Ovis aries: one gene and its partners. The protein of the gene in region 3 binds, or shares a complex with, the protein of the main gene of each other region. Links are inferred from orthologs where the notes say so. Each region holds a gene or a part of one and is shown on either strand. Other genes may lie near its edges.

What was found.
Region 1: SF3B1 (region 3) and DDX46 share a complex: the UniProt entries of both Homo sapiens proteins name them as parts of the 17S U2 SnRNP complex. The link is inferred for Ovis aries from reciprocal best matches to the Homo sapiens genes SF3B1 and DDX46.
Region 2: SF3B1 (region 3) and MYBBP1A share a complex: the UniProt entries of both Homo sapiens proteins name them as parts of the B-WICH complex. The link is inferred for Ovis aries from reciprocal best matches to the Homo sapiens genes SF3B1 and MYBBP1A.

The regions. Positions count from the first base shown.
Region 1 is NC_056058.1:43,894,993-43,905,334, reverse strand, and holds part of DDX46 (probable ATP-dependent RNA helicase DDX46), read right to left. Parts: intron 8,602-10,342; coding exon 8,505-8,601; intron 5,797-8,504; coding exon 5,631-5,796; intron 3,186-5,630; coding exon 3,034-3,185; intron 2,269-3,033; coding exon 2,155-2,268; intron 849-2,154; coding exon 683-848; intron 1-682. UniProt on the Homo sapiens protein: Component of the 17S U2 SnRNP complex of the spliceosome, a large ribonucleoprotein complex that removes introns from transcribed pre-mRNAs.
Region 2 is NC_056064.1:24,904,346-24,914,687, forward strand, and holds part of MYBBP1A (myb-binding protein 1A), read right to left. Parts: intron 9,857-10,342; coding exon 9,773-9,856; intron 9,684-9,772; coding exon 9,609-9,683; intron 9,509-9,608; coding exon 9,401-9,508; intron 9,083-9,400; exon of another isoform or gene 9,006-9,082; coding exon of another isoform or gene 8,997-9,005; intron 8,459-8,996; coding exon 8,283-8,458; intron 8,131-8,282; coding exon 7,963-8,130; intron 7,871-7,962; coding exon 7,753-7,870; intron 6,694-7,752; coding exon 6,398-6,693; intron 6,166-6,397; coding exon 6,055-6,165; intron 5,519-6,054; coding exon 5,393-5,518; intron 5,186-5,392; coding exon 5,018-5,185; intron 4,859-5,017; coding exon 4,759-4,858; intron 2,771-4,758; coding exon 2,674-2,770; intron 2,499-2,673; coding exon 2,347-2,498; intron 2,019-2,346; coding exon 1,932-2,018; intron 1,854-1,931; coding exon 1,698-1,853; intron 1,595-1,697; coding exon 1,418-1,594; intron 1,298-1,417; coding exon 1,137-1,297; intron 226-1,136; coding exon 1-225. UniProt on the Homo sapiens protein: May activate or repress transcription via interactions with sequence specific DNA-binding proteins. Repression may be mediated at least in part by histone deacetylase activity (HDAC activity).
Region 3 is NC_056055.1:199,700,161-199,709,628, forward strand, and holds the end of SF3B1 (splicing factor 3B subunit 1), read right to left. Parts: intron 9,370-9,468; coding exon 9,224-9,369; intron 9,121-9,223; coding exon 8,974-9,120; intron 8,834-8,973; coding exon 8,708-8,833; intron 7,920-8,707; coding exon 7,698-7,919; intron 7,419-7,697; coding exon 7,236-7,418; intron 7,150-7,235; coding exon 7,038-7,149; intron 5,582-7,037; coding exon 5,461-5,581; intron 5,149-5,460; coding exon 5,017-5,148; intron 3,972-5,016; coding exon 3,699-3,971; intron 1,993-3,698; coding exon 1,776-1,992; intron 1,488-1,775; coding exon 1,329-1,487; 3' UTR 1,004-1,328; downstream 1-1,003. UniProt on the Homo sapiens protein: Component of the 17S U2 SnRNP complex of the spliceosome, a large ribonucleoprotein complex that removes introns from transcribed pre-mRNAs.

The DNA of each region.
Region 1 (10,342 bases), on a different chromosome or scaffold from region 3:
ACTCTTAAATATTGTTCTGTTAGTGCCCTCTACTTTTCAATGAGGCATGGTTGTATTAAGAATCAATTCTTTTTTAGTGTTCCCAAAGATAATTCCATATAGAAGCTCCATGACAATGCACTGAACAGCTCTGACAAAGTGATTACTGTTGCAACCAATTGGGGTGCAAAGAAACACCCCAATTTCTACAACTTGGCTTTTATTTTGACTTAAATTCTAACAGCAATAAAAGAACAGTGATTCACAAGTAATACAACCACTTGTTCTTTAAGCAAGGGTTGCCCAGATCACGCTTTTTCCGTCAATATCACACAGATTCATATTGGTTTCTAATTCTCAAATAAGAGAAAAACAACAATACTCTACTTGCTAACTTCACATGAAGAGTATTTTCAACCCTAAATAGCTCAACTATGTAAGCCAAACTCATTTTTGCTCATTTTTTAAAAATGTTTCCCAAAACACACTAATTTCTAACTATTCCTAATCTTTGTGGATGTAGCAGTCTCACTCTCTAGAATGATTTCTCATGTTCTAGTTCACTCTCATTTCTCCAAGTAAGTCAGGCACATTTCTCCTACTTACCCATCAACTTACAGGCCTATCAACATGCCTCCCAGGCAAGGTGAAGTATATTTCCCCCATCCCCAAAATAACTGATAAATGAATAAACAAATTTTACCCTCTTGAGACATTTTTGCCAATTCTGGAACTTCAACATAGAAGTTTTTTCTGAATGGTTCATATTCAATTTTTCCATGATCCACTGGTTCTAGAAGCTTTCTCTGCTTTGTCTGGTAACCTGTAAGAGCTGTCTGAAGATCAACTTCTTCCTCCTCTGAAGAATACTGTAACAAAAAGAGAAAAACTAAGAGCTGAATCTATTACTGTCTTCCTATGGGAAGAAATATTCCTAACTTAAAAAATGTTCCACTCCTAGAAAATACTCTTTTCCTCTTCTTTTATTTTCTGAACTTTCCAACTTAGCTTATTTTTTCTTTGCCATCATAGAAAGCTTTAGTAACAATATAAAGCTAAAACAAAAAACTAATTCTAACATAGCTTTAATGAAGTTCTGCTATAGTTTTCTCTATATAAATCATTACAATAAAGTTTTCTCTATATAAATCATTACAGTGAGTGTTAATAGTAAAAAATTTCATTCTGTCACTTCATTTCTTCTCTCCCTATTCTACATCTGGGATGTACTGATGAGGGACAGGGATGAATCAAAATTTGGCCTACACATGTGCAGCAATACAGATGAACCCAGACAACATCATACCATGTGGAGTCAGTCAGAGAAAGATAAATACTATATGATATCACTTGAATGTGCAATCAAAAAAATACTACAAATGAATTTATTTTCAAAACAGAAACGGACTCACAGACATAGAAAACAAACTTCTGGCCACCAAAGGGGAATAGGAAGGAGGGATAAATTAGGAATGCGGGATTAATAGATACAAACTACTATACATAAAATAAGCAACAAGGATTTACTGTACAATGCTGGAGACCTGGGTTCAATCCCTGGGTCAGAAAGATCCCGTGGAGAAGGCAATGGCTATCCACTCTAGTATTCTTGCCTGAGAAATCCATGGACAGAGGAGCCTGGTGGGCTACAGTCCATGGGATAGCAAAGAGTCGGACATACTGAATGACTAATATTTTCACTTTTCACACTTTCAAAGGGAATTACATGCAATATCTTGTAATAACTTATAATGAAAAAGAATCTAAAAATATGTATGTGTGTGTATACCTGAATCACGTTGCTGTACACTTGAAACTAATACTATATTGCAAATCAACTATACTTCAATTTAAAAAAAAGTAGGTATACAAGAAGTTAAAGAGGTTAAAATGTTCTACCAGTTTGGATATCTGGCTACAATACTGTTGAGAAAAGCAAGAATTTCTCCCAAGAGTACACTGCGTAACTGAAAAGCACACCTCCATCAATGCTTCCTTATAAATACTCATAGGATGGTACCACGTGCTGTGTGCTCAGTCGTGTCCGACTCTCTGTGATCCCACAGACCATGGCCCACTAGGCTCCCTTGTTCATGGAATCCTCCAGGCAAGAATACTGGAGCGGGCTGCTGTTTCATTCTATGGTATCGTGAACAAAGTTAAAATTAAAGTTACCTCCATGGCATCCTGGTCATTCTCCATTAGCTCACCTTTCTTCTTATCAGAATCTACGACTGCTTTTTTGGTTGTGACAACTGTGACAACTTTTGTGACCGTTGGCCCAGACTTCTAAAAAAAGAATGTGAAATATTTTGCTAAAGTTGAAACACAAAGTATAAACCAAATGAAACAATGATAACTGTAACAATTTATAATCTGAATTAACTTAGTAGTCAGTGACTACTAATGCAAAAACAAACAGTAGCCCACTTTCTCCTTACTTAAATTTAAAAATGTAATACAACAGCATTATATTTCCTAACACATTAACACACAGGTAATTAGGTATGTAGTATGTAATTTTATATAATATTATGTAATCTATTTTTAAAATACTATTAAATAGTACTTTTCACTCATTCCACAAACCAAATACTATCCCAGGATCTGAAGATGAATCAATAAACAAAACAGGTAAAGATCACTGCTCTTGGGAAGATTTTAGAAGAAAGAAGGAACAAGCAAACACAACATTGAATTACACCATTTGTCAATAAATTCTATTAAGAAAAAGAAAACCTAGACTAAAGAGGATCAGGAGTATAAAATATGGGAGTGTTGGAAAAGGACCTACTGAGAAAGGAACAAGCAAGCAAAAACACTAAACAAAGATGATAATAGTAATGATGACTCTAAAAGGACATTTGCAGTTACAATTTGCTAGTATCTCTGCTCTTTAGAAAAAGCACAGACACTTCTGAGATGCAGAAGGAAACAAAATCATTAACTTTATAAAGCCATGCAAGCCAATAGTAGGTCAATGCAACAATGAATTCAAGTTATTCAACTAGGAATATAAATCTTTAAAAATAAAATAGGAAAAAAATCCCATACCTTTTCATTTCCCCCACCACCTTTCACACTTCTCATATTAAACTTTTTTACTTCCTCTTTCACTTCTTCCATGTAAGCATCTAATGGATCTAACTCCTCACCCTCCATTTCATTTCCTTCCTTTTCAGCCTCTGCAGGATCATCTTCATCATCTAAAATATCAGAACATACTTTGAATATGTGTTTCAAAAGGGATTATTTCACAATCCGACCATGCCCCTATTAAGAAGCCTTTTCTCTTAACTACCCAAATACCTTCCTTATCAATTAACCCAGGCACAATACAGTTCAAATACTCATACTGGCAAGGTTTTAAATCAAACAAGCATTAGTTTTGAATAATACTAATAATAAAAGAAATAAATGATAAACTATTAAACTGAAAAGAGGAAGAAACACTAATACGTCTGAAAAATGGATCTCTGGTATTATTTTACAACCACACTAACAGAAGCAAAACTAAAAACTTTGCTAAAAGGATATGCTTATTTCGCTTCTTTCAATCACTTTTCTTTAATCACAGGAAGAAAAAATTAATAGTATATTGCAGCCCACCAGGCTCCTCCATCCACGGGATTTTCCAGGCAAGAGTACTGGAGTGGGTTGCCGTTGCCTTCTCCGAAAGACAGTCTCATGTTTTTTACATAACTATCACCAGGGAAGCCTGGTGTGTTGCAGTCCATGGGCTCACAGAGTCAGACACAACTTAGTGACTGAACAACAACATCACCACCATTTAAAGACATAATCCATTAATCTATTTAGAACAAAACACCCTGGTGAACTTCCACAGAAAATGAAAAATTCACAGGGATTTTCACAAAAAAAATGGAGCAAAATTCCCTTTTCCTATAAAACCTCATTATTCCACTTAACTAACATCTTACGCATCAAAATCAGTTGTGAAGTTGCATTTAGTTGCACTGAGCAGCTTCAGCTGCATTCAACAAATTCTGATAAATTCTCTTTCATTTTTATTCTGCTACAAATATTTTCTAATTTTCCTTATTATGATTTCTTAGATACAACCATCATTTAAAAGTGGACATTTTCTGTCCAAACACATGGAGTTTTTAAAGTATCCTTGATATTAATTTCTCATTTTGATACTAATTTCTCATTTACTTGCTTTCTTCGTTGCAATCACTCTGTTTCTTCAGTCTCTTAACTTTACTGAGACTTTCAATGATTATGTCAAAATTCTCTCTTGGTAAATGTCACACTGCACTTGAAATATGTGTGTTATTTTCAAATATCTTTTAATATTGATTTCTAATACAATTTCACCATGATAAGAGAACAGACTGTATGATTTTAATACCCATAGACTATTTTTGCACTTTGCTTTATGTCCCTGGATATGTTCCAGTGTCCCCTGGTTCACAGTCTATGGAAACTTGAATAGAATTTGTATCCTGCCTTGGTGTGAAAACTGTATAAATCTTAATTATGTTGAATTGGTTCATAGTGCTTTTGAGGTCTACTATATCCTTCTACTTTCCTGTCTATTCATTCCATTAACTTTTGAGAGTTTGATATTGAAACTCCAACTAAAAACCTTAATTTATCTACTTAAAAAATAATTGTAATATATAGTGGAAATATATGTAACTTTTTTCTGTATTTTCCAAATCTCCTGTAAATGTACTATCATAGTTTCATAATTTAAAAAAGAAAAAAATAATCAAGATGTGCAGGGGAAATGTTGCTCTTCTAAGTTAGGAAAAAAATCAGAGGGACTTGGAAACATGCCCTTAACTTACCCTCACTACTAACATCTGAAGTAAAAAAATTAAAGAGCTATTTACTGACTGCCCATAAGCATCCAACTCTCCACTCTAAAGTAAAATCAGTGATCCTTACTGCACGCTACTCTACAATTAAAACTTTAAATATGAAAAGGGGCATTGAAAAACCTCAAAATAAATCTAGTGACTCTATTTCTAGCTATAAACCCAAAAGAACTGAAAGTTGGGATTCAATCAGATATGCACAAACCAACACTCACAGAAGCATTATTCGAAATAGTCAAAAGATGGAAACAACTTATATATGCAACAACAGCTGAATAGGTAAACAAAATGTGGTATATACATACAACGTAATACTATCAGACTTAAAAGGGAAGGAAATTATGATATAGACTACAACATGGATGAACCTTGAAAACACTTTGCTAAATAAAATAAACCTAGTCACAAGACAAATACTACACGATTCCATTTATTAAGGTACCTAGAATAAGCAAATTCACAGAATCAGAAAGTAGATTAGATGTTATTAGAAATGAAGAGGTACGGGAAGGCAGGATAGAGAATTACTGTTGAATAAGGCAGAGGTTTTGTTTGGAATGATGAATACTGTTGAATAAGGCAGTTTTGTTTGGAATTTTGTTTGGAAAGTTCTAGAAATGGGCAGTTGTGATGGCTGCACAACACTGTGAATTTGCTTAACATCACTGAAATGTACACTTAAAAATGGTTAAAATAGTAAATATTATGTGTATTTTTTCATGATAAAAAATAGTCTATCACTTATAACCCTAGAATATTATACATGAATTGCTGTTTAGGCTACTAGCAAACAAATGAACATACCATCATCATCTTCTAAGCTCCACTTTTTCCCTTGTTTCATCTCTTCGATTTCCTTTTTCAGTTCCCCTATGTTTTCCATGGCCTTTTTACGTTGCTCTTCTCGCCATTTTTCTACTCTTTCTTTTCGCTTTCTCATTTCTTCTTCTAGCTTATTCTGGTCAAAGTTCTTGGGGTGAAAATGAAAAATAGAAGAAAATAAGGATCAACAGTTTTACTCCTACTGACACTCCAAATAACTTTTTCAAAGTATAAAAAAAGAAAAGGAAAAACAGGTATCTACACAAAACTCCTAAATTCTGACCAGATTTAGATTACACATCTTTTTAATATATTAAGGAATAAACTAACAAAATGAAATCACAATCAAAAGTATCTTCAACTAATAAACCAGAAAAGTGAAGTCGCTCAGTCGTGTCCAACTCTGCAACCCCATGGACTGTAGCCTACCAGGCTCCCCCATCCACGGGATTTTCCAGGCAAGAATACTAGAGGGGGTTGCCATTTCCTCCTCCAGGTGATCATCCCAACCCAGGGATCAAACCCAGGTCTCCCGCATTGTAGGCAAACGCTTTACCACCCAAGCCACCAGGGAAGCCAAACACAAACTTCAAATACTATAACTTACTCTCCTTTTAGTTACTACCAATATGCACACATGAACTCAACCTCTCCCTCAAAGTGGAAACTAAAAGAACTGGCAAGCAAAGTTCCCTAATTATTACTCTCAACTGTAAATCCTTTAAACTTCTCCAAGACTGCCTCCATGAGAAGGATTTTTTATCACAATTTTCTATTTCAAACAAGTGAGTAAATGAAAGTTATTTATCAAAATCTTTAAGAAGTTCTGATCTTTTAGCCTTTAGGTCTAAGTTTTCTAGGAACAGCCATTCTAAAGCTTGTATCATGATTATCAACTATACTCTTCAAAGGAAAGACAAATCATTTTCACAGGCATAATCAAGGACTTAAAGATTAAGCATCATAAATATCAAAATTTTATACATGCTGCTGCTGCTGCTAAGTCGCTTCAGTTGTGTCCAACTCTCTGTAACCCCCATAGATGGCAGCCCTGGGATTTTCCAGGCAAGAACACTGGAGTGGGTTGCCATTTCCTTCTCCAATGCATGAAAGTGAAAAGTGAAAGTGAAGTCGCTCAGTCGTGTCCGACTCCTAGTGACCCCATGGACTGTAGCCTACCAGGCTCCTCCATCCATGCTACAATTATATAAATAGGTATAGAAACACACATGTAAAAAAACAGTCAAAGAAAATACTAATAAACTGCAATATTGATGGCGTTTGGGTATCTAGAATTACAGAGAATTACTTCTGACTTTCCAAGTATTTTATAATATGGTTATATTTATATTTTAAAAATAAATTTATTTCTTAAACAAACAAAACCTGTGTCCCTGAATTTACATCCTTCATAATTCCATACTCTCTGAAGATGAGCCCCAGAAAGCTTATGTTTTTTTCTCAAGGTCACCCAGTCATTCCACAGTAGAAACTAAATCAGAAACCAGACCTCCAGACTTCTTGTGTTAATTTCTTAGATAACCTGCTCAGCAAACAGTTCCCTTAAAAAAAGAACCACTAAAAACAAAAATTAGATCTCAAAAAAAAAGGAAATGAAGCTATAATATATTGTAAAATGGGCAAAAGCTATGAATAGGCAATTCAAAGAAAAGTGCAGATAGTAGATAAACTTAAAATGCCTTATTTAATTATTGGTTTACATTATGTTCATAGCACTTAAAAATATTTACTCATGTTAAAGACATACAACTCAAAATAACAAGAAATCAATTACCTCCTATAACATCTGCAAAAATTAAATTTCAAAATACCCATGTTGGCAGGAATGTGAGGAAACAGACATTTTCACGTCTAAAATCTTAATTTTTACAATATTTGTGGAGGGCAATTTGATACTATCGATCAAAATGTTAAATCTTTAGAGCCAGCCCTCTGGACCTGAACCCTCATCCTCCAAATTCAACTAACTGGATCAAAAATACGCAGGAAAAGAGAATTCCAGAAAGTTCTCAAAATCAAAACCTGAATTTGCCCTAGGCTGGCAACCGCTCACACAGGATTTACATTGTATTTACAATGATTCACACAGCATCTACATCATATTAGGTATCATAAGTGATCTAGAGATGACAACCTATGCAGGGAGGATACCCACGGTTATACTAAGTCATTTTATATGAAGGAATTGAACATCTGAAGGTTTTGCTATCCAAAGGGGTCCTGTAACCAATCCCCCTCCGATACTGAGGGAAAGCTATATACCCACTGACAAAGGAATTTATTTTACTGGTATTAATTTACCCTATACTATATTCACAGAACACATGTGTACTAGGATTAATCTACCATTGTTTATAATTGTGGACTACAGACAGCCTAAATACCCATTTACCTTTTCTTCAACAAAACACTATGCAGGCATTAAAAACAACAAACACTACCTATGTAAACAGGTACATAAAGATATCCAAAATTTAACAAAAGGAAAAAAAAAGGTATTCTACTTAAGTTCGAATCTTTGTATACTGCGATTTATTATTAGGACCTTATATACTGATATATATTGATAAAGTAATTCATAATTTTAAAGCAACAAAAAAGCAAGGTACAGAATAGGGCATATAGTACGATCACATTTTATATATAAAAGTAGATAATGTGTATAGATATGTAACTTTCAGAAAAATGTTCTCATGGGGAAAACTATCATTTTATATTTATTTTATAAATTTGCTATCATTTACTTAAAAATAAAACATATAGCAGTAAAACCAAAAACTAGTCACTACAGAAACAAACTCAATACTATACTATTATTTATGTTAGTAAACATACACCAGCATCCTTTTCTTTTTCATCCTCTTTGTCATCTTTGTCTTTTTTCTTCTCTTTAGAACTTTCTCCACTATCCGTTTTCTCTTTGGATCTAGACCTGCCAAAAAAAAGAGAGAGAGGGGGACATCATCTATCTGTTTTTGGAAACATTCATTTTAAAACACTTAGACTTGTGTTTTACTTTTTAAATAAGAAATAAATTTCTAGGCTCAGCTGAATTTTTATATACCGTTAATAAGCAACTTGGAAATACAATGAAGAATTAATCCCAGAACACTAACTGCAAATATTACTCCATATCTGAAAACTGACCAAAGGTAAATTGGACACAGCATATAAAAATAATTACAAAAATTTAAACAAGAAATTTAAAACTTGAACAAATGGAGAATTATACCAAAACATTAAGTCTATAAGATAACTGATATATGTAATAATATTTCAAATCCCAACAAGCTTGCATTTTGACCTTATGGCATCTAAAAATGAGTTAAATTCCTTAATTGGACTATAATCAAATTAGTTGACCTTTCCCCTCCTTTATGATTGGTGCTTTTAAGAGGACTTCCCTGGTGGCTCAGTGGTAAAGAATCCATCTGCGAATGAAGAGGACATGGGTTTGGGGAAGATTCCACATGCCACAGGACAACTACACCTGTGAGCTCTAACTACTGAAGCCACAGCATCTAGAGCCTGTGCTCCACAACAAGAGAAACCACTGCAATGAGAAGCCTGCACGCCACAACAAACAGTAGCCTCCGCTCACTGCAATTAGAGAAAGCCCACGTGCAGCCAAGACTCAGCATAGCCATAAATAATAAATCAATCAATCTTAAAGATGAGGCATCCAGAAATTGTTCCAATTTTGATGAAGATACTCAGAGGTAAAGAAGATATTCTCTAGCATAAACTTCTAAGAAGTTTATAGCTTTGCCATCTTACTTGGTTTTTAATCTGTTTGGAAATGTTTTTTGCGCACAGAATGAGGTGGCCCGTCCTATTTTATCAGAGGATAGCAAATGTTCCTGACACCATTTACTGGAAACACTTTTCCCCACTATTTATGATGCCACCATAGTCATTTATTAAATGATCTTATATGTGTAGATTTGATTCTAGGTTCTTTATAAGGTTTCAGTAATCTATTTGTTTACCCCTACAATAAAGCCACACTCTTGATTTCTACTTTATAGACAAGCCTTGATACCTGGTAGTGAAAGTCCTTATATCTTGTTCTTTGAAAGTGCTTCCTAATTTTATAACCAGTTTGTTAAATACTTTTCTATTCATGTTTGCCAACACTTTTAAACATTAATGTGTGTTGAAGTTAATAAGATGCTTTTCCTGAATCTACTTAAGTAACCATGGCTTTTCTCCTTGAATCTTGGATCACACTGATAAAGAGTTTCTAATGTTAAATCAACTTTCCATTCCTGGTATAAACCCAACTAGTTTATGATCTGTCTTATCTTTTTGATGTACTGGTAAAGCAGCATGCTAATCTTTTATGCTCAGACTGAGTACAGCCTATAATTTTCACACTGCCCTTGTCAGGTTTTCCTCATCCTTTTATTAACTGCCTTCATTTTATGAATGTTTCTTCCTTCCAAGTCTTTGTTCCTCAAAAGTATCATTACAGAGAAAGAGATAAATCAGAGTAAAAATATCTGCCACTCATATAACAAATGACAATTATATGGAACATTTAAAAACAAAAACTTCTATAAATCAATTTTTTAAAAAGAAAAACCAATAGGAAAATGAGAAAAAGGTTTAAACATGTATTTTTTAAAACATGTACTTTAGAAGAAGAAATCTGAATGACCAAAAAACATACG
Region 2 (10,342 bases), on a different chromosome or scaffold from region 3:
TCTTTGCTGGCTTTCTCCTTCTTCTGGGCCTTGCGGGCGGGCTTGTCCACGGTGCTGCCCCTCAGGACGCGGAGCAGGTAGAGGGAGGCATTGAAGTGGTAGAGGGCGACGGAGGAGTCAGCCTGCTGGCTGGCCTGCTGCACCAGCTGCTCCAGCCGGGCGTACAGAGTCTCCACGCGGTCGCCCGCTGTGCGGCAGTAATGCCGGGAGCGGCACAGGTGATGCCTGCGGGGGGCGGGGGCAGAGCTGGTCTCAACGTCCCCCCACCCCAGCAGACCCGAGCCCCACTTCACAGGCGGAAACAGACCCCTAAAGACAGGGGTCTGACTGAGGCTGCAGGGGGAGGCCTGGGGCCACACACAGATCTACCCAGGAAAAGCCAGAGGGAAACTGGCTCCCTGAGTGACACCCCAACACCCCGATGTGGTCCTCAGCCCCATGAGCACCTGTCTCTCAGGGGACAGTGGCTTCCGGGCCCTTTGTAAAGCAAAACCAGGGTCTATGTGCTCAGGACACTGGGCAGAGAACTAGCTGAGAAAGTGTGACCTGGGCCGGTGAGGTGGGGGCACCCCCCCATCTCAAGTTCTTATTAGGCCTTTGTCTCCACACTGCCCCCCCAAACCCTTGCCCAGGAAGCAGGGCTCTATCTGCTATCTATGTCTCCATTGCTGGGCGCCCTGCTCCAGCAGCGCCCACCCCACCTCACCCCACCTCTGCTGTTGCTGCAAAGGCCTCTGTGGCTCCTCAACACTGAGGTCGGCCAGGCCACAAGCTGCTTATGTTCTGACTGTGTCAGACACGCCTTCCTGTTCTGCCTGTGGCCTCTGGGAGGATAAGCGAGCTCCACAGCTCCCAGCACTGCTGACACCTCTCCCAGGAAGCCTTCCCGGTCCCTCAAGACTGGGTTAGGTGTCCCATCTCCCGCCCACTCGCTGCCACAGCCCCGGCCAATCGGGCACCGAGTCTGCTTTGCCAACTACAGGGGCCCTGAGGGCGTCGGTGGGACTGGGGGCCCTGCGCTAAGCACTGCAGGAACAGATGGGTGAAGGCTCCTGAGTGACGCGGGCCCTGGCTCCCACCTCTTCCCTCCGGGAGCCCCCCGGCCCGGCTGTCCGGGCCCCCCCTTCCGCCCTCACGTGAAGATGCGCGCCGTCTTGTGCAGCAGGTCCTGCTCCTGCTTGGCGCTGCTGTTGCTGCGCATGCTCCGCCGGATGACGAGCAGCAGCGGCTCGAGCAGCTCCAGGACCAGGGGGTTCTCGGGCTGCTTGGTCACCAGCACCTCGATCAGGTCTAGGACCTGCAGTGAGAAGGGTGAGCTCAGCCAAGCGTGGGGGCGAGGGCGGGGGCGAGGGCGTGGTGAGCGGGAGGGGCGTGGGGGGAGGGGCGTGGTGAGCGGGAGGGCAGGGCCCGGGCTCACCCGGATCTGGAAGTCCCGCCGCAGCGCCTTCTCCTTCTGCAGCTTGTTCTTCTCGTCCTTCCGGGCCTGGATGCGCAGCTTCTGCTCAGCAAAGAGGCTGGCCAGGCTCTTGTCCAGGGCCATCATGGCCTCGTCCCCTAGCTCCTCGTCGTCGTCATCCTCACTGTCCGCTCCGCCCTGGGGGTTGTGGGCGGGGGGACAGAGGCCGGGTGAGCCCCTCCTCATGCAGAAGGAGCAGAGGGACGGGGGCGGGGGGGGGCGGGGCCCGGTGCCCACTCACCAGCGCCTTCCTGGCCTGCAGCACCGCCATCAGCTGCTCCCGGAAGCCCTGGTCCACGTCCCCGTCTCGGTCCTCCTCGTCGCTGTCGTCATCGCTCTCCTCCTCACTCTCTGAGCCTTTGCTGCCCTTGCTGTCCTCGCCGTCTGAGCTCTTGTCCTGTGGGTGGGCCGTGTGTCACGCCTCCCCACGGCCCACCAGGTGTCCGCCCGCCCCCTGCCCTTTGCTGACAAGTACCTCCACACCCCCCAGCGGCTGCTCCTCGGAGTCGTCTGTCACCACCACGTTGTCGTCCTCGTCCTGGCTCTCCTCCGGGTTCAGCACCTGTGGGGAGTCCCAGGTGGCCGTCGTGTCTGCTGTCCCTGCTCCCTCACCACCCCCTCAGGCCCCGGGACCTTCTCAACTGCCTTCCTTCCCCCTCCCATCCAGTCTTGGCCAAAGGTCCCCATTTCAGGCAGGAAGATGGAGCCTGGGAGAGAAAGCCATTCCCTCCAGTGTCCTTGAGAGACCTGACCCCGAGTCAGGGGTGCACAGCAGGAGACTCTGAAGGAGGCCTCCATCCCCCAACCATGCAGGTCACAGCAAGGACACAGCAGCCCTGGGCTTGGAGAGCCCCATCCTGGGACCCACGTCCCCAGAGGCCCCCACTTACATTCAGGATGAGCTGCAGGGCACGTAGGGTCAGATGGGAGCAGATGTGGCCGAACACGCTGCGGGCTACCTGGCGCATCAGGTGGCTGGGCTGGGCCAAGAGGGAGAGCAGGATCTCCACCAGCACCTCCACCCATGGCGGCTCCTGGGGGTCTGCAAGCAGGGAAGGGGTGAGCCTGGGCAGGGGGCCAGTGACCCATGCTGTTTGCCCATCACCCCCCACCAGGGACGACGACCCACTGGTGGCCTTGGAGCAGGTCTGAGCACCCCATGCTGGGTCCTACTGTCTGCCTATTACCCGCCCCCCGCCCCAGGGACGACAACCCACTGGTGGCCTTGGAACGGGTCCGGCGGGTCTTCTCCCCCAGGCTCTTCTTGATGCAGGTCTGGATGTCGCCCAGGAGGTCACAGCTTTCTGCGGGGGACTGTGTGGGACAGGACAGAAATCAGAGGCCAGGCCCCATGCTCAGCCTTTGCTCAGCTGGGAGAGGGAGTGACCAAGGGGGCGGACCTGGTATCAAGGCCCAAAAGACTCCAGACTGTCCTGGCCGGTCCCCCTCACAATCTAGAGCAGAGGCCTACAGCCAGACCCCAGGAGCTGATGACCTAACATCCAGACACACAGTTTATGAGCCTCACAGAAGATGAAGCCCAACCTCCCCACCGATGCCCAGGCTGGATCAGGATCACAGGGCACCAGCAGGTCCCAGACTCCTGATCTGCAGTTCTAGATTCCGCCACGACACCTGGCTCGACATCATTACAAAAAGAACTGGAAATGACCGATTTCAACAAATTTAAAATTTAATTTCAACTAACTTAAGTCTATCTTGGGCTTCCTTTGTGGCTCAGCTGTAAAGAATCTGCCTGCAATGTGGGAGACCTGGGTTGGAAAGCCCTGGAGAAGGGAAAGGCTACCCACTCCAGGATTCTGGCCTGGAGAATTCCATGGACTGTATAGTCCATGGGATCACAAAGAGTCGAACACAACTGACCAACTTTCACAGTCCTTTCAAGTCTATTTTGCTGAAGGATAAGACCAGAGTCCAGTGAGTTGAAATTAACCTGTTTGACCGCTGGTACCAAAAAGGCAGACTTCCCCTCCTTAATGTTGCAGGGCAGCTTCAATGTTTGGGGTGGGGGTGGTGGAAGGAAGGCCAGAACAGGAGCTCAAAAGCCTCAGGCATCTTTGCCTCTAGCGTCCTGGCTGTGGCTGGGTAGCTTTCATCCATGTCAAGCTCAGAGGTCCAGGGTCTGGGCAGCCCCTATTGGATGTCCAGGGCCAAGGACTGGAAGGGGCATGGTGACCAACTGTTCCCCACACTGCTTGTCCATGAGCTGGGCTGAGTGCCCAAGGCCTGGAAGCAAAAACCTCAGCCGAGAGGCCAGAAGGGAGTCCTGTCTCCTGAGGCTACTGAAGACCTGGAGCAACCCACAAGAGCCTTGCACAACTTGAGGGGAAAACCTCCAGAGACCTGAGTTCACAGTCAGAGGAAACCACAAGGGTCAAAAGCGCTGTCGGCAGTACGCTCCGCACACGGCCAAAATTTCTTTGTGGAAAGAACAGAAAAGGAGACGGAGTGGGTTTTAGAGAACCGGTTATGAGAAGAGGTACCCATGACATGAGAAATATAGTTGACAGGATACAGGACGCCATGGGAGGGCGGTGCCAGAAAAACACCCACTACCCTCAACTCACCACTCTAGATTCCAAACGTGCAAGAGCTAAACAGAAGAATCGCGGCTCCACTCCGAACGGACCACAGCCAGACAGAAGAAGTGTCCCCATGGTCGACGGGTCTGCCCAGAGCCAGGCCCCGCCCTCCTCGACATCCACCACCCCTGGCCAGTAAGGTAGTTTGGGGAGGTCCTATGAGATAGCGAGTCAGAGCCCCATGTTTGAATCCCAGCCAAAAGCTGTGTGGCCTGGGGTAAGTTACTTGACCTCTGTGAGTCTATTATCCCACCTGTCAGAAATGTGCCTGCCTCCAATCTGTGGGTAATACCAACAACGGACACTGCTCAGAAAGCTCAGAATAGAGCATGTTAGCTGCTCAGTTGTGTCTGACTTTGCAACCCCATGGACTGTAGCCTGCCAAACTCCTCTGTCCATGGAATTCTCCAGGCAAGAATACTGGAGTGGGTTGGCATTTCCTTCTCCAGGGGATCTTCCCGACCCAGGGATTGAACCCGGGTCTTTCACACTGAAGGCAGATTCTTTACTGTCTGAGCCACCAGGGAAGCTCAAGGTAGAGCTGGTGTCCAGTAAGTGGATGGAGTGGTTTTTCCCTTGGGCTGTACTTCCAACCAGGAGCAGTCAGCCTAGGAAACCTGTCACGTTCAGCTCCACAGAGCTGTTCCTGGCCCCCGCAGACCCTAGGTCTGTAGCCCCCTCCACTTCAGGCCGCCGTACCTTGAAGAGGTGGATGCCCACCAAGAGTAGCAGGTGCTGGAAGGCAGTGGCCTTGGCCTCAGAAGAGAGAGTGTCCAGTTCCTTCAGCGTCTTCAGCATCCTGGGCGAGATGAGCATGCTCTCAGGCCACCACAGCCAGTGTCAGACCCCAGGGGATCCCACCCATGCAGCCAGCGTCAGACCCCAGGGGATCCCACCCATGTGTCCAGTGTCAGACCCCGGGAGGTTCTACCCACGGGCGGCAACCACACCCTCTCACCGGTCCCAGGCTTGGCGCTGCTGCGTGGTGAAGGCTGTCAGTGGAGCCACATTGCGGCTGTGATTCAGCAGTATGTCTGCGAACTGCACCAAGTGGTAGGTCCAGGGCCGCCCGTCTGCCGTCTGCTCCGGCGCCAGCCTGAACTGCGTGCTGAGGGTCTGAAGCAGACTGGTGGTGGTGGGGTAGGCGGGGGCGGTCAGGGTCACGGGCTGGGCTGGTAGACACGGCTACCCTACTCCATCCCCAGGCTTTGAGCCCCTGGAACTCACCGGGCCTCAGATGAAGAGCTGGAGAGAGTAGCGCCCACCCTGCCCGAGGCCACCTCCCCGCCTACTCGCCCACCCTCAGGCCTCTCCTGGGCTTCCCGGTGCCCACCTGAAGAAGGCACTGCACACCACCTCCCGGGTCCGGCCATCCAAGGCGAGGGTGAAGTGCTGCTCGGACTCAGGGATCTGCGACGTGGGCTTCTTTGTCTCGAAGAACGAGTGGAAGAAGCAAAACCTGGGGAGGGTGGGAGGGTACTCGTGTTCCCTCGGTCAGTGCCACCCTCCTCACCAGCCACTCTCGGGTGGCCTCACCGAGGGCCTGGTGCCAGGAGGCGATGACGCCAGAGGGGACGTTTCCCAGGCCTGGACCCCCAGCAGAACAGAGCCCAGCCTGAACCGGGAGAGGACCAGCATCCCTCCCTTGGAACCAAAGACGCGAAGCTGCGTGGCCTCGGCCAGGTCACCGCCGCTCCTGCCCCACTCAGGGCCGCCATGAGGGTGAGTAGCAGTGGCAGCGTCGTCATTAAGGACCCCCGACACCGTTGACACACAAAGGCAGTGGGGGGAATGCTGAGCCAGCCTGAACCTTGGAGCTCCCCCCCCCCGCCATACCCAGACTCCCTGGGGAATTTCCCCCAATCTCGTCCTGCCCAAGGGGCAAGGATGACTTGACCCTCAGGCTTTTGGCTCCAGGAAGGACCCAAAGCAGGTCAGACATGAGGTCACTGCATCCGTGGGAAGTCAGGGTTCAGGCACATCTCGGGACCATACCTGGCCACTTCCTCGATCAGCGCCTCCTCCTTCTCCACGTGCAGGTTGTCCATGATGCTGACCAGGCGAAGGATAATCCACTTCCGCAGCCGGAACACAGCTCGCTCGGGCCTGTGGGCAGGAGACAAGTCCCGGAAACTGCTTAGAGGTGGTGAAATGGGTGTCTCCCATCCTTGAGACGGGAAAATCAACCAAGGCTCCCCAACGCCCTGATCCCCAGCACAGGGCCACGTGTGAGGAAACTGAGGCCTTTAAGAGCAAAGGTCTGGCTCCTCTCTGGCCCAAGGAACCAAGGTATTTGGGACGGAGGGTCCAGGCCTTTGGGCCCCACAGGCCCACTCACCCATGGAACGAAGCATCTTGGGTTTTCTTCTGGTTGTAGGTGCTGAAGTCCACCAAGGAGTCCAGGTCAGGCTGGAGGAACATGTCCCGCAGCCAGGCCACGTAGCCCTTGAGGGCGGTGGGACTCAGGAACTGCACGACCCGCCAGAAGGTGGGCACCACAGGGAGGCCCTGGTTGGTGATGGACGTGAAGGCCACTACCAGGGCCAGCTGCCGCTCGGGGTCGTCCTTGCAGCCTTCCAGGAAGGCCCCCACGTACTCGTTCATCTCCGGGGCAAACTTGAAGTGCTTCGGGAGCTGCGAGAGTCGGGCATAGCGCTGGGGTCATCAGCCAGGAGGGGTCCAACACACCCCCAGCCTCTTCCACAACAGGTTCCCTGGGGCCTAGGAAGTCCCCTCCCTTGTACCCAGCTGGGTCGCTCAGGCGCCCCCACATTTAGTCTTTGGGACAACTTTCGTCCTGGCACCTCTAATTGTTTTGCAGATGAAGGAAAATGAAGCATAAGAAAGCCTGGAAGCAACTTCCGAGGATCACAGGACTAAAAGTGGTGGAGCTGGGACTCGGCCCCTGTCCGTCTGGTCCCCCAGCCCGTGGAGCTCTTAACCCCTGCGCTGAACTCTGAGCCTGTCCTTCACTTGGAAGAGGGGAATGGCAGCTCTCCAAAGCTGGCGGTAAAGATGGAATGAGCTAGAAGCAAACCCAGCAGCACTTCCTGCACACCAGGCACTACTTTAAGCACCTGTGGATATTAGCCTGATTATCCTCACAACGACTCTAAGGAAGGTCCTGCTCCTTGGCTCAGAGGCAGGGGCAGGGGCAGGCACAGAGAAGGGAAGCGACCTGTGGGAGGTCACACAGCTAGCGGCAGTAGAGTCAGGACAGGAACCCAGCAGTCTGGTCCCAGGTTCCCTGCTCTTAACCACTACTCGAGTCCCCTGTCGAGCACTTAGCTTAGTGTGCGGCATGTGGACAGTACTCAAAATAGCATCGGTGGGTAGCATTCCTGTAACACCAGCTGGGGGTGGAGGGGGGTCTGGACAGATTGCTGGCTGTACAAGCCCGGGCTGAGCGGCCTGGGGGCAGAAGGGCTGACCCTGCCACTCTCGGTTCGTAGGGGAAGATGCAGGGCTGGGGGTCGGCTCTCAGGCAGCTCCCTCTACCCAGAGGTGGGGGACACCCAGGTCCCCAGCCCCTCCTCCCAGGGGCAGCTGTGTTTGCCCATCCCAGGCAGGACCACTGACACCAAGAACCACCCTCTCTTCCAGAAGCTGGCTGATCCCTTTCCTCCTCTGGGCAGGAAGCAGCCCAGTCACCTGGCCCCTTCCAGCAGGGTTGGGCCGCGGGGCGGCGCTCACCTTAGCGGTGACCATGTGCTCCCCGTAATGTCGGATCAGGTCCCCTTGCATCACCAGCTGCAGCTGCTCCTTGGACAGCAGGGGCAGGGCTGCGCCCAGCAGGCGGAAGCACAGGTAGCTGAGGGGGCGCACGACAGGGCCTGGTCAGAGCCCTCGGCCCCCTGAGCCACCCCTGCTCACCAAATAGGGAGAGGTCAAGCGCCCACACACCTGGCCGGCCAGAACTGCTTCTTCAGGAGCCCCTGCTCCACAACCTCCTTCCAGAACCATGGGAACTTGTCCTCCTGGAGCGCCAGGCGGAGCAGGTCCAGAGCCACGGTGGGCAGCTTGCGTTCCTTCTTCACAGAGTTGGCCACCGTCTTCAGCACAGTCACCAGCCTGCAGAGGTCGGGGGTGGGTGGGGGTGAAGAAGACTCAGGGGGCAGTCCCCAGCAAACAAGGGCCAGGCGCCTGGGGCCACATGGACCCCCAACCCCGGGTCATGGTGCAAACCTGTGGATGGAGGGCCCACCTGCCCACCTCCCTCACACCTGGGGATGTTCTCGTCCAAGAACAGGTTGACCGGTCCCATCAGCTTCTCCAGCTTCTTGGGCACCTTCTGCTGGGCCAAGAGGAAGAGCTCCAGGTGCTCAGGGGAGCCGAGAACTGAATTCATGTCAGGCTTGAGGACCTTGGGCAGGATCTCCTGCAGCGCGGTCTCCGGGACCTGGCGGTGGGGGAGACAGGTTGAGGGTGCGGAGGGCGCCCTCACAGCATCCTTTGTCTCTCCTGCTGTGAGCTGAGCTTTCTGGGCCCCATTCTACCTCCCAGGCTCCCCCAAGGCCCCGGCACACCAACAGCCTGAGACGGGACAGTCACAATCCACCTTGTCAGGCAACAGAATCACCAGAGAGGGTTTCTTAAAAAGCGCAAATTCCCAAATCCTTGGAAACTGGGTTTAAATAAATAAGCACCCCACTGATGCTAACTAGCCCAGGACCACCCTTTTAATTATTCCTCTTGTGGGTTTTGCAGGACTAGCATTTTTTTTATAAGGAGTCCCCAGTGAAGATCTGGGACTTGAATTCAGGTCCTTCCAGCTCTGTGGCCAGGGTTATGCAGAAAGCCTTGGCCTGGGATGTGCCAGTCCCTGGCTTTTTCACCATAGCAAGGATTCTAGGTACTAGCCCACCTCCACTTCCCAAGTAGGGCAGTGGGGACCCCAGCTCTGCCCAAAACAACAATGGCAAACATGTTTAACCCACCGGGCACATGTCAGGCGCTGTTCTACAAATGCATGGTCCAATATGGAAGCCACTGGTCACATGTGGACACTGAGCATGTAAAATGTGCTAATCTGAACAGAGATATGCTGGTGAGTATAAAATACACTGGATTTTGGAGACTTACCACGATAAAGAATGTAAAAAACCTCCATAGATTTTCTGATACTGACTGCACATGAAAATACTTTAGATATTAAACTAAACCATGTTATTAAAGCACATCCCTTTTCCTTCTTACTTTTTAAGGGAAGTTACTACAAAACATCATGTTCCACATTTATGCTTCGGTACCGCATTTTCATGCATTAACCTGTGTCTTCTCCGTGCTCTTCTATGACGGGTGGCGTTAGTTACCCAAGGCTCCACAGCTGGTGAGCCCATACCTGAGAAAGGATGTCCACCAGGGCCTTCTGGGGCTGTTCCTGAAGGTGATTGTAATGCTGGCCCAGGGCCTGCAGCAGCTTCACTGACTTCATCAGTGCTTCTGAGTCCTGGTGGTCCCAGAGGCAGAGAGGGTATGAGTGGGGCGTGCCACTCTCCCCCACCACTCCAAGCCAGTCCACATACCCCCAGAACCCTCAAAGCTCTTACCTTCACTAGCCTGCCTGACTGAAAGAGGGCTAGCACCCCAAACAGGTTTCCAAAGAGGGCAGGTCTCATCATCCCCTAGAAAAGGATTCCAGGCACCCGTGAGAAGGACCCAAGCATTTCCCACCCTGGGGACTGCTGATATCCCTGGGGCTGCTAACTCTCACCTTCTTAACCTTCTGCAGGTCATGTCTCTCCTGTATTTGCTGCAGGATGCTGCCCAAAGGGATGTCTTCGAAAGACTGTAACAGCTGCCAGGAGGAAGAGAGGGGCTCAGGGGGAGTGGCCCTGCCACATCCCAACAGACGTTAATCTCTTCCTACTTCTTCAACTTCTGCCCTTGGGAGCAGGCCTTGGGCCCCTGCTCCCGCCCCAAGGATGCCTCTGAAGCTGCCTACCTGCCTCTGAGCAGTGCTGATGATGGAACATAGCTGTGAATGGAGCTGACCCCTCTCTCCCTGTCCCACGTGTAGCTGGGGTGCTTTGGCCACTAGACTGTGTTTCCCAAACATGCTGTCCCCACAGCCAGCTCTGAGCTCTCCCTAGACTGGTCTTCAAGGACTGGGTCTCTAGAGGCCTTCCATTTGTCCAGGCTCCTTAGATATGGCTTATAATTAGCTGTGTGCCCCTTGGGAGAAGAGGGTCCTAAACCCTGCAGAGGTAACAGAACTCACCCCAGAGCTTACCACCCCCAGTACATGTACCTCGGAGGCTGGTCAACCCAGGTACCCAAAAGC
Region 3 (9,468 bases):
CCTTACTGTGGCAAGAGTCACTATATTGTTTAGGCTTCTGCGGCAGCTCGTTTCTCATCAGAGTTCATGTTAAGTACTATAACATAAGGAGATAAACTAAAATAGCTATGGGAAGATTAACACCTAAAACTAAAAAAGTTTTGGCCAACTAGGGAAAAACAAAGATATACTTTATTATTAAAAAAAAGTACTGTATTAATGCTTGGTTCTTCTAAATTTGAATGGCATTTGAGCTTATGCTCAACACCTATTGATCATTATCTGATAAATTGATTGATGTTACCTGATACTTAAGCAAAACTAAGCAAACCTAGACATTTCAGCTGCTGCCATTGTGTAGTATTAGTACATAAGTAATCTGTAACTAGATGTTTCCCCTTTTCCACTATACTGTATTTCCTAAGGGCAAGAGGCAGGTCAGAAGTACCTCTGCATCCCTACAACTAACCACAATGGCTGACATACAGTAGGTGCTTAACAGGTATATACTGTTGAGTAGTGGCTTACGACATGACATGGGCAAAGAACTCAAAAGATTGTCTTATTCTAACTAGCATGACTTAGAGGTAGCCTCACTCCCTACAAGTAGAAGTTTAAGCTACTTTTCCCACATTCTAAACAGAATTGTCACGAGTTGGATATGACTTCAATTACTTCCCTTAAGCAAATTCATAAGCATTTTGAGAAATCAAGAGATGAAAGGCGCTATGCAAGTGCAAAATAATATTAAAGACAGTTCAGCAAAGGTGCTATATTTTCTAAGGTGATGGAAGGGTTGTGCTAGTTTGAGGTTAACACCCTCAAAGCTACTCTTCCTAATGTCTTTATCAACAGAGCAATGGAATTTTGACAAAGATACCATCACTTTATATAGCTTGTATTCTACTAACTACTCTCTATAAACCAGGTGACAGAAAACGATATTAAGCCACTTATTCTACAGAAACCAGTACTTTATCAAAGTTCCGCATTTTACAAGTCATGTTCAAAAAACACACACAAGTTAGCATTTTGTACACAAACGTTTATTTCTCAATTAAACATTCCCTTTAAACACAAGGAATGAATTCTAAATCTTCATAAACATGAATTAAAAATGAAAGCCCTCCAGTATAGTGTGTGTAATCACTGTGTTCTTGGTCACTACTGGCGTTTACTGCTTAACATCAAAAACAAAGGTTATTTAAAAATCATGCTACTGGATTTCTAGCTCTTCCTCTAAGACCAGGTCTACGCTGATCTGCAATGTTTAAAAGTTTACATCACCAAATCAAAGCAAGTTTAAGGTGTGAAACAGCTGTGCATTAAACACAAAATAAACAATAAAGTTACAAGATATAGTCAAGTTCATAACGAATATAGGTGTTCTTATCATCATTGTAGATTCTTGGGTAATGTGCTATGAGAGCATCCTGTGAACCGATGTAGATGGAGTTGTAAATTTTCCAATACACATCTCTGACTTTCCGGGCTGGGTGAAACAAACCCTAGAATAATTAAAAGGTTATATTATTTCAAGAAATACATAACCTTAACACAACTAACAAACAAACCATAAAGATATGGTTCTAAACATCTCCCTTTGAGAGAGGAAAAAAAAAGATGTCAATTTCATAAAACTGAAGTGGGCAAGGACAAAATCTAATCTTCTCTCCCCTCATAACTGTTTTCCCATATGGCACAAATATATCTTCCCTAATGATAATTAGGAACAGTGACTTAATTCAACTACATTATTTTTTCAATGAATACTGTTTAAAAAACCTTTAACCTACCTGTAAACAATACTGTAGCATTCTACATGGTCCAATAGCAACTCTCAGACCCTCCAGGGCCCCCATAACTGCCTGAATTACATGGGGAGATGTCTCGAACACATTGGGCCATACATAGTTCAACAAGTGATTCAGCGAATCTTCGCAACCAAATCCATAAACCCCAAGTGACATGTGTTGCACCACTGCACTAGCAGTCTGTCTGTGTACAAGGTCCCTGTAATGGAGAGGGGAAAAAGCTTTTTATTAAGATGCAGTCTTAGTTTCACAGAAAATACTTGCATGCCTGTTAGAAACTAAATCACAAATTCAGTGCTTGGAATGGATGCAGAGTCATCCTTACACCTCGTGTATCTGACATAGGATACCTTAAGAATGACTGATGATTATACTTGAGAACTTTTGCTTTGATGATTCAAACCTGCTCACAATGGCTCAAAAATAAGCTATATTTTTCTTTCAGAGTAACAGGAGCAAGAAGGCCCAGCACAATGTGTATTTTTGCAAGCTACTAAAAATAAGAGAGGATACATGACTCTTAACATACGAACAATTAACAGTAATATCTCATTTTAAACTCTGTAAATTTAAAATCTTCGGAAGTAATTCAATACTGTATACAGTAAATAAATAAAATGAGATTAAATCCCTTCCCTTGTGGTTTTTTAAAAAGATTCATTCAAGAGTTCAATTTGGGGAAAGGAAGAGAAGGACTAATAATTTTTTGAAACCCAGAAAAAAGAACTTTTATCACCTCCCATGTTTTGACTGACTTTATGACAAATCATTGACTTATTTATTCCATAATTTATTCAACTGAGTACAAGTATCAGATAAAACGTCTATGATAGGTATAAAAACAAGTTCACACGTTTTACCCTCGAAGGCAAGAAGAGAACCTGAAAGGTATTTAAGAGAAAAAAATACTTTTTTCTCTTAAACCTTAAGAGGAAAAAAAAAGCACCTGAACCGACTTAGTTACTAGCATCTTTATTTCTCTTATTTATTATAATAATCTATTAGGCATAGATTATAATGAATCTGTATTCCTCCTTGGTAAATTTCCCAACTAAAGTAATGTTTCTTGGTATTAGGACTGTATCAATCACCTCCAGCAATACTTTATCAGGGGTCACCATCTGAATAATTGGGGGCCTGCAGTGACAATAGTGTGGCTCTGGCAGGCTATGTTCAGTAGTTAAAAGTGTCTCTGCTTCACCTGCCATAACAAAAAGCTAAAAAGATCAGGTCTCTCTGTTACATCAATAAGCTCATGCTCATCATTTTCTTTGTAATTTTTAAAACAAAAGTTGATTGGAAATTCCCTGATGGTCCAGTTGTTAGGACTCAGCGCTTCCACTATTGGTGCCAGGGTTCAATCCCTGGTCAGCTAAGTAAGCTCTCACAAGCCTCATAACATGGCCAAAAGAAAAAGGGGGGGGGGGGAGGCGGTTAAAATGAAGAGGGGGCACACTTGGGAGAAAAAATTGGGGGAACCATTATAGCATGTATCTTTTTTTCCCTTTGGCTGTGCAGGATCTTTGCTGCTGCACAAGGGCTTTCTCTAGCGGCAGAGAGCAGGGGCTACTCTTAATTGTGGTGACTTCTCTTGTTGCAGGGCACAGGCTCAGTAGTTGCACTGCACGGGCTTAGTTGCCTCATGGCACTGGAATCTTCCCAGACCAGGAAGATTCCCCTGTTTTGGCAGGTGGCTTCTTAACCAGAGGACCACCAGGAAAAGTACTATATCATATACCTTATTTGGAGATAACAGTCACATTAATAGTTTCATAAAATCCAGGCTAGTAGTCCTTTCTTTAACTACATCACAACAAGCAGGTCATCTAATGATTACTTCAATAAGTTCTCTAAAATAAAAGAATTATTTTAACTATTTTCTTGTGCTTAGTTCAAGTCACTTACCTATCCATTAAAGCATCCTCAAGTAGTGGTGTTACAGCATAAATGTAGTCCTTTCCCATTTCACCAATATATTCAAACAAGAAGGAAAGTGACTTTAACACTCCATTTTGGACATTCAGTTCAGGAACTCTGTATTCATTCATTAAGGCAGGTAGTACTGTGAAGGGTGAACATGTTTCAGCGACAATAGCTATGGCCACAGTTGTACAAACTCTGTTCTGCCTTTCCTGAACTTTTAGGTTGTTGAGAAGTGTAGCCAATACATCATGAGGGCTGGAAAAAAATAAATGTGTCAGCAAACTGTTAGTATACAAGTCAAAATTTTTTTCAGAGGGAAGAAAAATGATCAAAGGATGGAACTCAGTAATTTTATGCTATGGCATTATTGTTTCTACTTAACAAATTCATTTTAATTAAAATGTTCACTCTTATGAAAATATTCAAATAGACTCATTTTCAAATATAATTCAGTTTTTAATAAATTTCATTGAATGAAATATCATTTCATTACATGTTTAGTCTGAGAATTCTTTGAGTGGTCAGAACATGGTCTCCCATGCCGTAACATACAAAATCTGTTTCCCTTTTATCTTCCCGCCCACAGACCTTTACCACATTTATTCTCCTTCTTTAAGGATTTATCTTACCACAAATTTAAAGGGATACAGGAACTAAAAGATTATATTAGCACAGGTATTCACTGCAAATTGCTTGACTTTCATCACAAATGAAAACATACTACAGCTACCAAAAAAGGGGTGGAGGAGACTCTAATTATATAATCAACTTTTGTTATGTTTGAGAATATCTTGTTATTATGCCACATGTACATGAAATATCTCATTTTCTACAATGACTGTTCTAGTTTGGTTCTGGTGGAGTGAAAGCAAATAACCACAGATTATCTAACAAAATAGTTATAATTTTTAGTTGTCAGTGGATTAATTCTAGAAAAATATTTTCAAAACACATGAAGTATTAAGTTGAGAATTGAACTATGTTAACTATTTTAGCGATATCCAAAAAGAACTGGCCTTAATATTTTAAATAACCAAAAAGAATCAACAAAACCTGAAATCCTTCTGAAATGTTTCCCTTTCTGCAAACACTGAAATGTTATTAAATGAAATTTTATACCCTTCTATTTTAATTCAATTTAAGAGGAAAGAAAACATTTCAAATATTGAAGGTCATTAAAGTCTATTTTAACTGCATTACTCATACCTTACCTTAAAAGAGCTTACAGAAACAGAAGCATCTTTTAACGCTAAATCAGTCTACTACAAAGTTAAAAAAAAAAGACGTAAATAATACTCACCCAATGGCCTTTGCAATATAACCAAATGTGTTGACTGTGGCTCTACGAATAGCTTTTTTGTGTGCTTTTAAGAGCTCTAAAAGCTCAAAGCAAATCCTCATCCATTCTCTTGCAGACACATATTCAGCTCCCCTGGTTTAAAAATAAAAGTTTAATTTGTTCATGACAATAAATTTTAAAAGGTTAATTCAAAAATTCAGTTCTCAAGACATGATTACCAACTCATTTTAAGCATTATATAAATTGTTACTGTTCAGAAGAGATGGATTATTTTTAGATAAAAGCAAAATTTAAAAATATACTGCTACTCCCTCATTACCATTCAAACTGAAATTTCACTGAAAATATTAGCCTGACCATATATACTTACATTAGCAAATTTGCCAAGTGAATAAAAATGTAAAAATCAATACTACTTTAAAAATATTTAGGTAATCTGCTTACCTATCAGCAATACGCCCAACAAGATCAATACAATTCTCCTGTACTTTTTCATGCCTATTCTTTAAGATGGGGGTGAGTCTAGGCAGCAGATCTTTAATTGGTGGGGTCATCTTATGCATACCTATTTAACGAAAGTCAACACACTATCAATTAACATGTAAACTGCAAGCTTTGCTCATTTTATCTTTCACTTAACAATGTAATATATGTGACTAGGCATAAATACAAACTTACAGCTGCCTATAGAAAGAAAAAGCCCCAGATTCTGACCAAACGCAGAATTTTTAACTTTTCATTAACAACTTCTCATTATGTATGTATAAAAATGAAAGAAATTAGTGAAGTGATTTAAAGAATGATGGATACTCAACAACAAAAAATTCCATTTAGTTCTGAAATGTATTTGTACACTGACATTTAAATATGGGGACAGCTTATGTTCCGGCCATACACAACAATATAAGCCAGAGGGAGACATGTAAATTAAAGCAAAATTTTCCAGAAAGGGCCCCCTTACCCTTTAACTGCAAAACAAACAGATCTCCAGTCTCCCTGCAATGCAGGGCATACTTGGATGGTATTTACACCTACGAAGAGAGAAAAAAGGAGGCAGCTGGCAGGGGCTCTTGTTCTAACTAGAATTGCTTGCTCTGATTCTCTCTCCATTGCTTTTCCCATGTTTCTCTGACCAACAATATGGTTTATAATTCCTTGCAAACCAGAGCCCCACAAGTGGCCAAATAACTGATTTTTAGCTCCAAATATAGAGGACAGGGCTGAACTGTGATTTGTATGTAAATGCAATGGTTTAAAGACATCCTATATTGCATAAAAACCCTTTACTAAAACAAGAAAAATAGTGGCTTATTTCAACCTCCTGATAGGTTATTTCTGCCCCTCCAAACTCTGCACAAGTCTGCAATAGTTCTATTCAATTACAATGAAGAATAAAACACAAGACCATATTTATTGCTCCATCAAAAGGCCTTTAAAGAATAAAAGCTTTATTCTCCACACCCAAAAGAATTTGAAATATACTTGTTTTAATTTTGGGTAAAAAGCTGAAAGGGTAGTTTAAAAGTATTGGATTTAAATAATGAGAGATTATTTGATTGATTCACTTTTCTCCCAGGTTATCATTCCTTGAACTTCATGGCAAGCAGGAAAACCTGCCATAACCATTTTACTCAAGTTGAGTAAATATATCATATTTAGTCTTAAAATTTCAGAGTTCTCTCCACCCACCATTGCCCTCCTATATATTCCAGGTGAAACACTGTATTTTTAGGGCCCTCTTAACCCATGACTTCAAAGTTTTTGAGTTGTGACTATTCACTCCTCTCTTGCAGGTCCTAAAACTTGCCCTCTTTTCTCTTTTAAAGTAAAATATAAATAGGTTTTGGGAGGTAAGATTCATGTGACATCCCAACTTAACTATATTTTTAGTAGTTAAAAAATTATATCAGATATCATCACTCAACTCCTAAATAGGATTCTGTATTTTACTTTCAAAAAATCCAAAGAACTTTTAAAAAGCAAAAAACAAAAAATTCTTCCATAACCAATGAATTCCATACCTATTACATTTACAATGGCCTTCAGTGCTCCAAGAATGCTGCCCAAAACTTCAGGGTACTCTTCACCCAAATACTCATACAAAACAACACCCAAATGCCCCATCAATTTTTCCTGTTTAAAAAGAAAAAAATGATTAAATGTTACTGTTTATCCTATTTCTTTCGGTGAATAAGTAAGAATCTGATATAGAAGTTTACCTCTTGACAAGTCTTCATGACAACAGCTGTTCGAGAGATCAAGTCAGCTGCCTGCTGCCTAACTTTTGCTGATTTGTTATTTAAACGCCACAAAACTGTACCACAGATCTGAGGCAAGTAAGGTTTGACTCGTTTGCCAAGAGCATTGACCACTGTACCAAAGCCGTTCAACATTACTGAGTCCTTATTAAAAAAAAAAAAAAAAAAAGGCCAAGTTAAATTTAAAAACTATATTCAATGTGAACAAGAATTCAGTTTGTGACAAAACAGTTAAAATATACTAATATTCAGCTTCCAAAAACTTATTCTAAAAATGTGATGTAAAAGAACATTTCTTTGTAGTTAACTGCACAAATATGAGCATTTAAAATTTTTAATTACTCTTTAGTGATATTTCCTTGAAACTACTTTTTACAAATATGAGAGCCAATGACAACTTGCCATAATAATTAGTATCATTACCTCTGTAGTCTGTTCTTGGAAAGCATAAAGAATACCATCAATCAGTTGTTCTTCAAGTTTATGATCAATATCTGCTGCTCCCAAGTTGCCCATGATTTTCTCAATTGTCTCCATAACCATTTTTCTGTACTGTTCAGCTTCATCTTTTAGATCATCCACAATTCTGGATATAATTTCTGCTGCACCTACTTTGTTTGCCAACTCCACAGTAGTATCAACTAACTAAAAAAAAAGGAGGGAAAAATCAATTTACTGCTTTTCCAAGGAAATACAGAGAAATTATGAAAATGGAATATTCTAAAGATACTATTTAGCTAGTCAGTGTGTTGAGAACAGCTGGCTCCTACTATTAAAACTTTAAGATGGGACTTCCCTGGTGGTACAGTGGATAAGAATCTGCCTGCCAATGCAGAGGACATGTCTTTGATCCCTGGCCAGGGAAAATACCACATGCCCAGACCAACTAAGCCTATGCACATAATTATTGAGCCCACACTTTAGAGTCCATATGCTGCAACTACTGAAACCCAAGAACCCATGAGCCAGAAATCCACAACAAGAGAAGCCACCACAATGAGAAACCCATGCACCAGCAACAAAAAGCAGCCCCCGCTCGCTACAACTAGAGAAAGTCCTACGAGCAGAAACGAAGATCTAGCACAACCAAAAAAAATTTTTTTTTAATAATAAAACCTTAAGAAAAAGATGGCCAAAAAAATTAAGTGTGAGTCTATGTCAAGGGGATTAAAGATTATATTCATGCTTCATTTAAGCCAGATTAAGTAGTTCATTTACTAGATAAAAACGTCAATTCATAGTTGGCTATTTATTCTAGAATGCAAACTCAAAATGAAAATTGACTTGCTGACTAAAATCCATCCTTTCACAAGCAAGCAAACAATCTATGAGATCCTCAAGGCAAAATATGACTTATATAATATGCAATCAAACTAATGGATTAACTGAAAGAATTTCTAAAAATATATATATTTTTAAAAATAAACACTTACCTGTCGGTAATTTCTTCTATCCAAAGCCATTCTATGTTGCCAAAAGTGTTTAAAAAAGGGAGGAAGGATCTCTGTTTTAATGTAGTTTGCTTCTACACCATCTGTTCCACAACACTGCTTTACCACCTAAAATGTTCAAAAAGATAATAATAGCAGCAAACACAGTCTTGGTCTAAAATGTATTTTTTAATGATATAGAATTCTCTTTCAACAATGAAACACATCCAATTTAGATTAATAAATATGGAACAATTTGGAACAAGTACCTTTAGCACAATTTTCTTCATTTCTTCATCAGGAGACTGGAATTCTCGAATAAGAATTAACATCACTTCTCTAGTATAGTAGTTGGCATATTCTGCATCCATGAGAGGAATAAGATACCCAATAGCCTTTAAGAAAGCGGCAAGACCCTATTATAAAATAAAAAATATATATATACTTAGTAAATTAGATTTAGGTCACTTGAACTTCAATGAGTAGAAATAAAAAACACAACCAAACTGGTGAATTTACCTTTCCTCTGTGTTGGCGGATACCCTTCCATAGAGGCTTTAATACAGAATCGAAAGATTCGATACCATAAGGGGTTGCTGCTTCAGCCAGGGCAGCAATGGCCAAAGCACTAATGGTCCGAACTTTTTGCTGCTCATCCACAAGACCTATAGAAAGCCAAACATAGGTTTCAACTAAGCAACATTGCCTAGTTTTAACTCAGATAGTACTACTGAGATCCCAGCAATACATCTAACTGTTTAGTC